Caenorhabditis elegans: one gene and its partner. The protein of the gene in region 2 purifies or fractionates together with the protein of the main gene of each other region. This does not show direct contact. Each region holds a gene or a part of one and is shown on either strand. Other genes may lie near its edges. The genes, in order: nep-24 and ceh-99.

Region 1 (3,924 bases), on a different chromosome or scaffold from region 2:
TCTAAATAAATTTTTCGAAAGAAAAAAAAATCATAGTACTCTACCTGTTCGCAAAATGCCGATGGGGAACCATATGTCAGGTCTGCGATAGACGTATCGATGAATTTGAAGATCAAGTAGTTGGCCAATGCTCTTTTAGAAGTGTTCCGAATGATTGTTTCAAGCTATAAGGAGAATATCTTCCGGAGAGTCGAAATATAGTGCTTTGGAGGCAGGCGCGGTTTCAGGGTCTGACGCCTGCCTCTCACCTTATTTTAGCGAGATAGGAAAGACACAATAAAGTGTGAAAAGTGGCTCTCGGGTTCTGCGCGCGAGGCAGGCGGAGGACGGGGGCCTGACGCCGGCCCGCCTCCCGCCGACCTCTCGCCTCATAATGACAAGAAATGAAAGACACCACATAGTGCTAAATGTGGCTCTTTTGCAGCGGCCGACACTTTTTGGGTTTCGCGCCGCACAATACAAGAGGCGCGGCAGGCAGAGGCAGGCGCTTTGGCGCCTACATGGAAGCCCTATCAAAATATAATGCTTACATTATTATTTTTTCCAAAAAACAGCGAGGTGTTGGTTAGGTACATAATCTGATACACTTCCGGGAATAAAGTTCTTTTGTCGGGGCTCATCATTTCCAAGACGAGCCTTGAAAAATTCACACTTGACACAAAATCTGATCGCTCAGAAAAAATATATCCTGGTTGAACTGTGTTGAACTTGTGCTGGCTTAACGCCTTCTCCAAATTAACATACTCTGCCAAATCGTCTAGAAGCTTCTTATTGTTCGTCTGAACAGAATTAGCTTTCAGAATCTCGGAAATTGTCTGAAAATTCAAATTTTTAAGGTGCAAAATGTATAAAATTGTATCCGAAACCTTTCCGAGATCTACGTTGTGACGCCAAGCTGCTTCTGGGCCTATAGCAAAATTTCGAACGTTTACATACCGTGCCATTTGAAATAGTCCAAAATTTTTTCTTCCCAACCTCACTAGATTAACAAGGAAATCATTCAGATCGAATTTCGACTCATCCCACTTATCATCCACCACTGGCCAAGCCCCAATGCTCTGAATATCTTGGAAAATGTCCTGAAGAGCTTTGTTACGACTGGCTGTGGAATTCTGAAAATTAAATTTTGCTTTTAAAATTTTGAAAAAAAACTTACTTTCTCCAAGGTTTTACACGCTTTATACAAGGTTCTCATAGCATTCTCCGACTTCGATCTTGACGTCTCGTTCTTTTTTAGAAATCCTGAAACAGGAACTAAATTACAGAAAAGAATAAAAGCTAAAGCTCACTTTTCATTATATTATTGATGGTTTTTGTTTTTTTCGTGTAAATATCTTCCGTTTCGTGCTCATGCTCTCTCCCGCAAGCGAATTGGTGGAAGTTGTCACACGGATCAACTGATGGGTCGTGGTAGTTGTGCTGGAAGTTTGATATAGTTGGAAACCAGAGTGCTAGGAACTTACCAACATGTGAGCAAGAGTGATGCATGCTGGAGTATTACAGACATTTCGGGTAGCAGGAGTTGTTGCTCCGATGGCGAGTGGAGCAGTACAGGTGAGAAGAAGAAGAAGCATAAATCCTGGCAGCTTTTCCTTGGCTTTTTGTAGACTCATTATCTGAAATTATATGTTACAAGCAGTAAGAATATAAAAACGACACAAACTGAAATAGAATACATGAAACAGAAAAAAAGTTTGTCAAAAAATAAATGTTTTGGTGAACAGTAACGTATCAATGATTCAATTCAAACATGTCAAACAAAAGACAAACCACCTGTTGTCACCGATCAACATTCGTATTTGATCAGAAATCTGAGCTGATTCATTAAATGGTATCTCTTTTCTGAACAAAATGATGAGAATGTTACTATAAATTAAAACAAGAAATCAGGGAGGAATCAAGTTCATTTCTAGTAAAAACCTAAAACACAAGTTCAGAACATATCACACTTCTTTCTCGGATTCATTGGAGATCCCGTCGGGCAGTTGAATGCTCTGGCAAACTCTGGAAGATTCGCATAGACTCCATTCACACGGAATGCTTTCCGAGGATGAGAACTTTCGATAGACCCTTTCAAATCACGCATCGCATGAGGGGTGCAGTGTGTCTGAAATAGATACTTTCAGAAAAAACTGCTAATATTAGTTTCAAAGCACCCGACATCTAATGGTCCCGCTTTATGTCGGCTGTTGAATGGCTAGACAACACTGTACCAAAGTGTCGACCAATCAGCGATGAGGGCGCGTGCTGATTGGTCGACATGGACTCACCAGGGCTCCAACACGGAAATACAGTTGGTCAATGTCATAGTCTTCAAATCCAATAATCCTTGTCGCATTTGTCAAGTCAAGACTTTTAAACATTTTCCAAGAAACCTCCCGTCCGATATTATCCGCCACAAGCTCATCGATCACTTTGCCGCCGTCAAACTGAATTTCTCGTTGAAAAATCATTTTTCAAGATCACCTAGTTTCACTTACAACTCGTCCAAAATCTGGATCATCATATTCACTGTACTGATTTGCCAGGCACTGCGCCCTGCTCTCGTATTCTGCAAGTTCTTCCGGTTTCATCCACACTTCCCGTCCTCTGACAGTTCTCAAAATTGCGTGTGGACCAAATGCGTGACCCATTTCATGACCAATTATGTTCCCAGACATGGCAATGTTCACATAATCGGGGTAGGTCGAGTCAAACATTGGATCATCAAAGAATGGAGCAAGGAAGTCTGGAAATTCTTTGAAAATTAGGTTAAAAGCCAATAGTACTTACTCAGCTGATTTCCGGGAATATAGTAGTAGGCATTCATTTCAAAAACGCGTAAATCTGGATCCAGAGGTGTCTCTTCTGCGAAATAATCCATTTTTTGTTCAACAAAATACCTTTCGAGCTTGTTGAGAGCTGTGTAGTACGTGTCAGATGAGTCGAGATTTAGCTAAAAAAATTAAGTAAATTAGGCATAAGTTTTCACTACTTACATTTTTAAACATGCCATCCAAAGTGCCCGGTGGCTCGAAAAAGTCCGGATACCCAATCATCTTTCCCATCGCATTAATTTTGTCTAGAGCAAGTTGTTTGGATTCTGCCTTTAGCCACGTGGAGTTCTGAACCAAAGTGTGAAGAGCGATTCGAGTTTTTTCGGCCAGCTGGGTGATCAGGTCTCGGTTCTCTTTGTCGACGTAATTGCGAATGAAGACTCGGAGAGATGCACGAGGAAGGTATGTGATGACTTTCTAAAAAAATATAGGATTTTTTGTACAGCCAATATTATCCGCCGACATCTCACGGGTACCGCATCCCACTAAGATTATCACGATGTAGGTAGGCGCTGAACCCGTGAGGTGTCGGTGGCTGTTATTTGCTTGGGGTCCCGATTTAGTTGCCAACCCAGAAAACGACCCAAAAACGGTGTGACCTAATTTTTGGGATTTGTTTTGCAGTTTTTCTAATTTCAAATGTACGTGTTGTCTTTCGTTCGAGTCGTTTGAGGTTGTGCAGCAGCCGACGCCTACCGGGCTGCAATACTAGCTGTGCTGTAGCGGATCCCGGCAGACGTCGGGCGCTTCTAAATTCATGAAACATGAGACAACTCCTGGCGACATTAGGGGGAAGGTATGCGATGACTTCGAAAAAAAAGGAGTTTCGTACATCGTGGCATTTACGTACGTACAAATCCATAAGACTGAGCCCTTTTTTTCCCGGAAATTCACGGAGAAAATGCTAAAATCGCAACCCCAACCAGTATCATCCGCCGACATCTCACGGGTACCGCACCCCTCTGTGTCTACCTCGTAGGCGCGGAACCCGTGAGGTGTCGGCGGCTGTGCAGTCCTTTTGAGATTGTGCAGCAGCCGACGCCCACCCCGGCTGCAATACTAGCTGTGTTTTAGCGGATCCCGGTAGACGTCGGGCGCTTCAAAATTC
Region 2 (3,924 bases):
AGGGCAAATTATTGGATAAATAGTTGTAAAGTAGAATGTTAAATTCATTATATTCACAAAAATATTTTTCAGAAGCTATCTGAAGCTTTTTCATGAAATGAACGTTGTTTAATGAATGCAAAAAAAAGCGCTAACAAGCATATCTCTTATTTTTCATTGGAATTCGAAATGAGCAGCATGATTGAGCTAATTAGAGATAGACAAGATAATGTTCTAGGCTCTTCAAAATTGACTGCATAGTCAGTTCCGTGAAGAAAACCCGAAATCTGCAAGTCTCCACTTCCCTTCAAACCTGTACTTATTCCTATAAACTGTGAGCACAAAATATCACAAGGTGCTTTCCAACTTGTTATCACTAGTTTTATGAGTGATAGTACATTTCTGTAAAAGGCTTTTCGAAAGAAAGAGAATCAATTGCCTGTCAATTTGAAATTTAAAACATTGACATTCAAGTTTGCCGGTTTCTCGGTTTTTTTCTTCAAAATGAAAGTGTTTGAGAAAATGGTCAAAGCTGCCAACTGAGGAAAAAAAACGAGCAAGAAATATTGGAATATTGGGAAGTAAACGGAATTTAAGGAAATTGAGCAAACGGGCAAATCGGGTGAATTGGATGAAATGGCAAGTTTGGGAAAGTTGGACAAACATAAGAATTGAGAAAACTGATATATAGTGCAAATCGGGCAAGTCCGGCAAAATGGACAAAGTGGGCAAACTGAAGAGCAAGCATGTAAACTAAATAAGGTAAATGGGCAAATTAAACAAGCCAGGAAAAACAGGCTCACAGGTGAGCTGGAAAATTGATTTAACAGTGAACGCTGTAAAACTAGACGATTCGGAAAATTTGAACTCTGTAAAAAATTGCAATACTGCCGAAAAAATCTATGAAATGCAACGATTATTAAATTAAATTAAACAAAATGTCCCAAAGTTTCGGGAAAAAAGACATAAACGGCGGCAAAGGGGCCAATTTTACAGCTTTGGGAAATTGATGACAAAACTAGCTAGGACAATGATTTTTATGTGCACAATGAGCCCAATCTACATTTTCTCCCGATACCCTCAGATTTTCAATGTTTCCAGAAACTTCTTATATTCGTTCATCTAGCCCAAAATCCTTATCACTGCTACAAAAACTATTCCATTCAAAAAACGGCTGTCAGTGCTAGGCACATGCCCCTTTCTTTCTCGTACACGTCAATCAGTGCCACGTAGTCTCGACGCAGAAATCTGTCAAAATCGACCTATAAAACTGGGAGCGATGGCGCTGAGATGCTGATACTGATAAGCGAAGGGGTTTCTTTGTGGCGTTTGGTAGGAACACACAAAGAGCCCCGGAGGACAAAGAGCTCTTATCAGTGGATGCTCCGCGCCGCTCCCATTGTTCGTTTCGCTTTCAGTTCACTTATTCTGAAATTAATTTTTTTGCTGCCTATCTATATTCTGGTAAGTTTTTTTTTGCATCTGCCAAACCGCCCGTTTGGATGGTTGTGCTCTGAGGAAATACGCACAGAATGTCATTTCATCAGGCCATAGCTGTCCAAATTGGTATAGAGTTTGGAATGTTGAATCAGTTATTGGAGTTAGACAAAGGTAGAGTTTTTCATCATTTTAAAATGATATGCATACCTGACGTTCAAAAAATTGTTTGAAGCTTTTAAATTTAGCGGAAAAGTGTACACAAGAAGTTGATCCAAAAGGTCATTCCAGTCCGATTTTTGTGGACTTTTCTAGAAAATTGTGTAAAAAATACGCACAGTAATATTTTATGAAACAGTAACTAACGATAGTTAGCGTTACATGGGTTTTTGACATTGTCAAAAACTTTCGTCCAATTTCTGACAATCCTCACCACTCTTTTCACGTTGGAATTTTGATTCAAATATCTAACCTTTTACTCAAAAAAAATTGTTTTTGAATATATTAATTTTGACCTCCTAGATCACCTTTTATATATACCTCATCTTTTTTGAATTTGACCTCTTCCCGCCGTGTACACCTGGATGCAATGATGGCCGTCCGGCAATATGAAAAAGAGTGTGAAAATTGAGGAGAGTGGCAGACAAATACAACGCCAGTTTACACCGACAATATTACCGGTACAGAGAGTGTAGATAGTTAGAGAGTGACAGACATCCAGGATCCAATGGGGCGGGGCGCGCGGAAGAGACGATTTGTGTCGATTTACGAAATTTTCCTCGTTGTCATCATTTCGTAAATCGAGACAAATCGTCGTCTCTTCCGCGCGCCCCGCCCCATTGGGTCCCGGATGTCTGTCACTCTCTAACTATCAACACTCTCTGTACCGGTAATATCGACGCAGCATTTTTTTTTATTTTGTGGTATATTATTCCAAATTGTCAAAGGTAAATTATACGCCTTTATTTTTTTGTCAAATACTAGAATGGCACCTTCTTACTCGAGGAATACAAAAAATTCAAAGAAGACGGCACCGATATCTGCTGAGGAAAAACACAAGATTCTTGAAGAAGAATTTGCAAAAAGTCCGTATCGAGGACAAAGGAATTTGGAGTTGTGTGCAATGTTCAATATGACTAGGAGAAGGGTGAGTTTTTTTCCTAGAAATTTGAGAAACTTTTGTCTTATTTTTCATTGATTTTCTAATAGTAATTTTTCTAATAGTAATGTCTAAAATTAGGCCACAAATAGAACTTCTTATCTTTTTAACCGAATTTTTTGAAACGTTCTAATAATAATTTCTCTAAGAGTCGCTCAACTTCGGGCAACTTTTGTTAAACTTCTGATTTTTGAAATTTTTTAAAGTTGACAAAACCACGCGGTGTCAAGCTGTCCCATCACGGTTTGATCTACAAAAAATGCGGGAATTTTTTGCCCAATAAAATGTAACGTCAGCACGTTCTTAACCATGCAAAATCAGTTGAGAACTCTGCGTCTCTTCTCCCGAATTTTTTGTAGATCTACAGTGCTGGCCAAAAAGATATCCACTTTTGGTTTTTTGTGTGTAACTTTTTTCTCAAGCATCCATTTGACTTGAATTTTTCCGTGTGCATAAAGCGAAATGTTACGCAAATTTGCGGACCAAACATTACATGATTATCGATTTTTTCTGAATTTTATTTCAATTTTTTGATTTTTTCGTTTTTCCAATTTTCATTATTTTTTTTGAATTATCAATAAAACGCACTCTGTTTGTTGCACTGGATTTGTTTGGTTGATAAATTATTTTTAAGGTATGGTAAAATCTGTTGGGTGTAAAAATCTTTCCTTGGACGTCAAGAAAGCCATTGTAGCTGGCTTCGAACAAGGAATACCCACGAAAATGCTCGCGCTGCAAATTCAACGTTCTCCGTCGACTATTTGGAAAGTAATCAAGAAGTACCAAACTGAGGTGAGTTCGAAAAATATTATTTTTTAATAATAAATGTTTAGAAATCCGTCGCTTTGAGAATCTCGCCCGGCAGGCCTCGAGTGACAACCCATAGGATGGATCGCAACATCCTCCGATCAGCAAGAGAAGATCCGCATAGGACCGCCACGGATATTCAAATGATTATAAGTTCTCCAAATGAACCTGTACCAAGTAAACGAACTGTTCGTCGACGTTTACAGCAAGCAGGACTACACGGACGAAAGCCAGTCAAGAAACCGTTCATCAGTAAGAAAAATCGCATGGCTCGAGTTGCGTGGGCAAAAGCGCATCTTCGTTGGGGACGTCAGGAATGGGCTAAACACATCTGGTCTGACGAAAGCAAGTTCAATTTGTTCGGGAGTGATGGAAATTCCTGGGTACGTCGTCCTGTTGGCTCTAGGTACTCTCCAAAGTATCAATGCCCAACCGTTAAGCATGGAGGTGGGAGCGTCATGGTGTGGGGGTGCTTCACCAGCACTTCCATGGGCCCACTAAGGAGAATCCAAAGCATTATGGATCGTTTTCAATACGAAAAC

What was found.
Region 1: the proteins of ceh-99 (region 2) and nep-24 fractionate together in Caenorhabditis elegans (co-fractionation; one large-scale study listed by BioGRID). This does not show direct contact.

What each region holds. Positions count from the first base shown.
Region 1 is NC_003282.8:16,922,081-16,926,004, reverse strand, and holds the start of nep-24 (NEPrilysin metallopeptidase family), read right to left. Parts: upstream 1,614-3,924; coding exon 1,464-1,613; intron 1,420-1,463; coding exon 1,290-1,419; intron 1,243-1,289; coding exon 1,157-1,242; intron 1,113-1,156; coding exon 867-1,112; intron 816-866; coding exon 531-815; intron 165-530; coding exon 45-164; intron 2-44; coding exon 1-1. Other genes in the region: nep-23 (NEPrilysin metallopeptidase family), read right to left, coding at 1,934-2,107, 2,271-2,429, 2,481-2,728, 2,773-2,935, 2,979-3,233.
Region 2 is NC_003280.10:12,517,811-12,521,734, forward strand, and holds the start of ceh-99 (Homeobox domain-containing protein), read left to right. Parts: upstream 1-2,170; 5' UTR 2,171-2,401; coding exon 2,402-2,563; intron 2,564-3,924. Other genes in the region: srh-70 (Serpentine Receptor, class H), read right to left, coding at 1-48.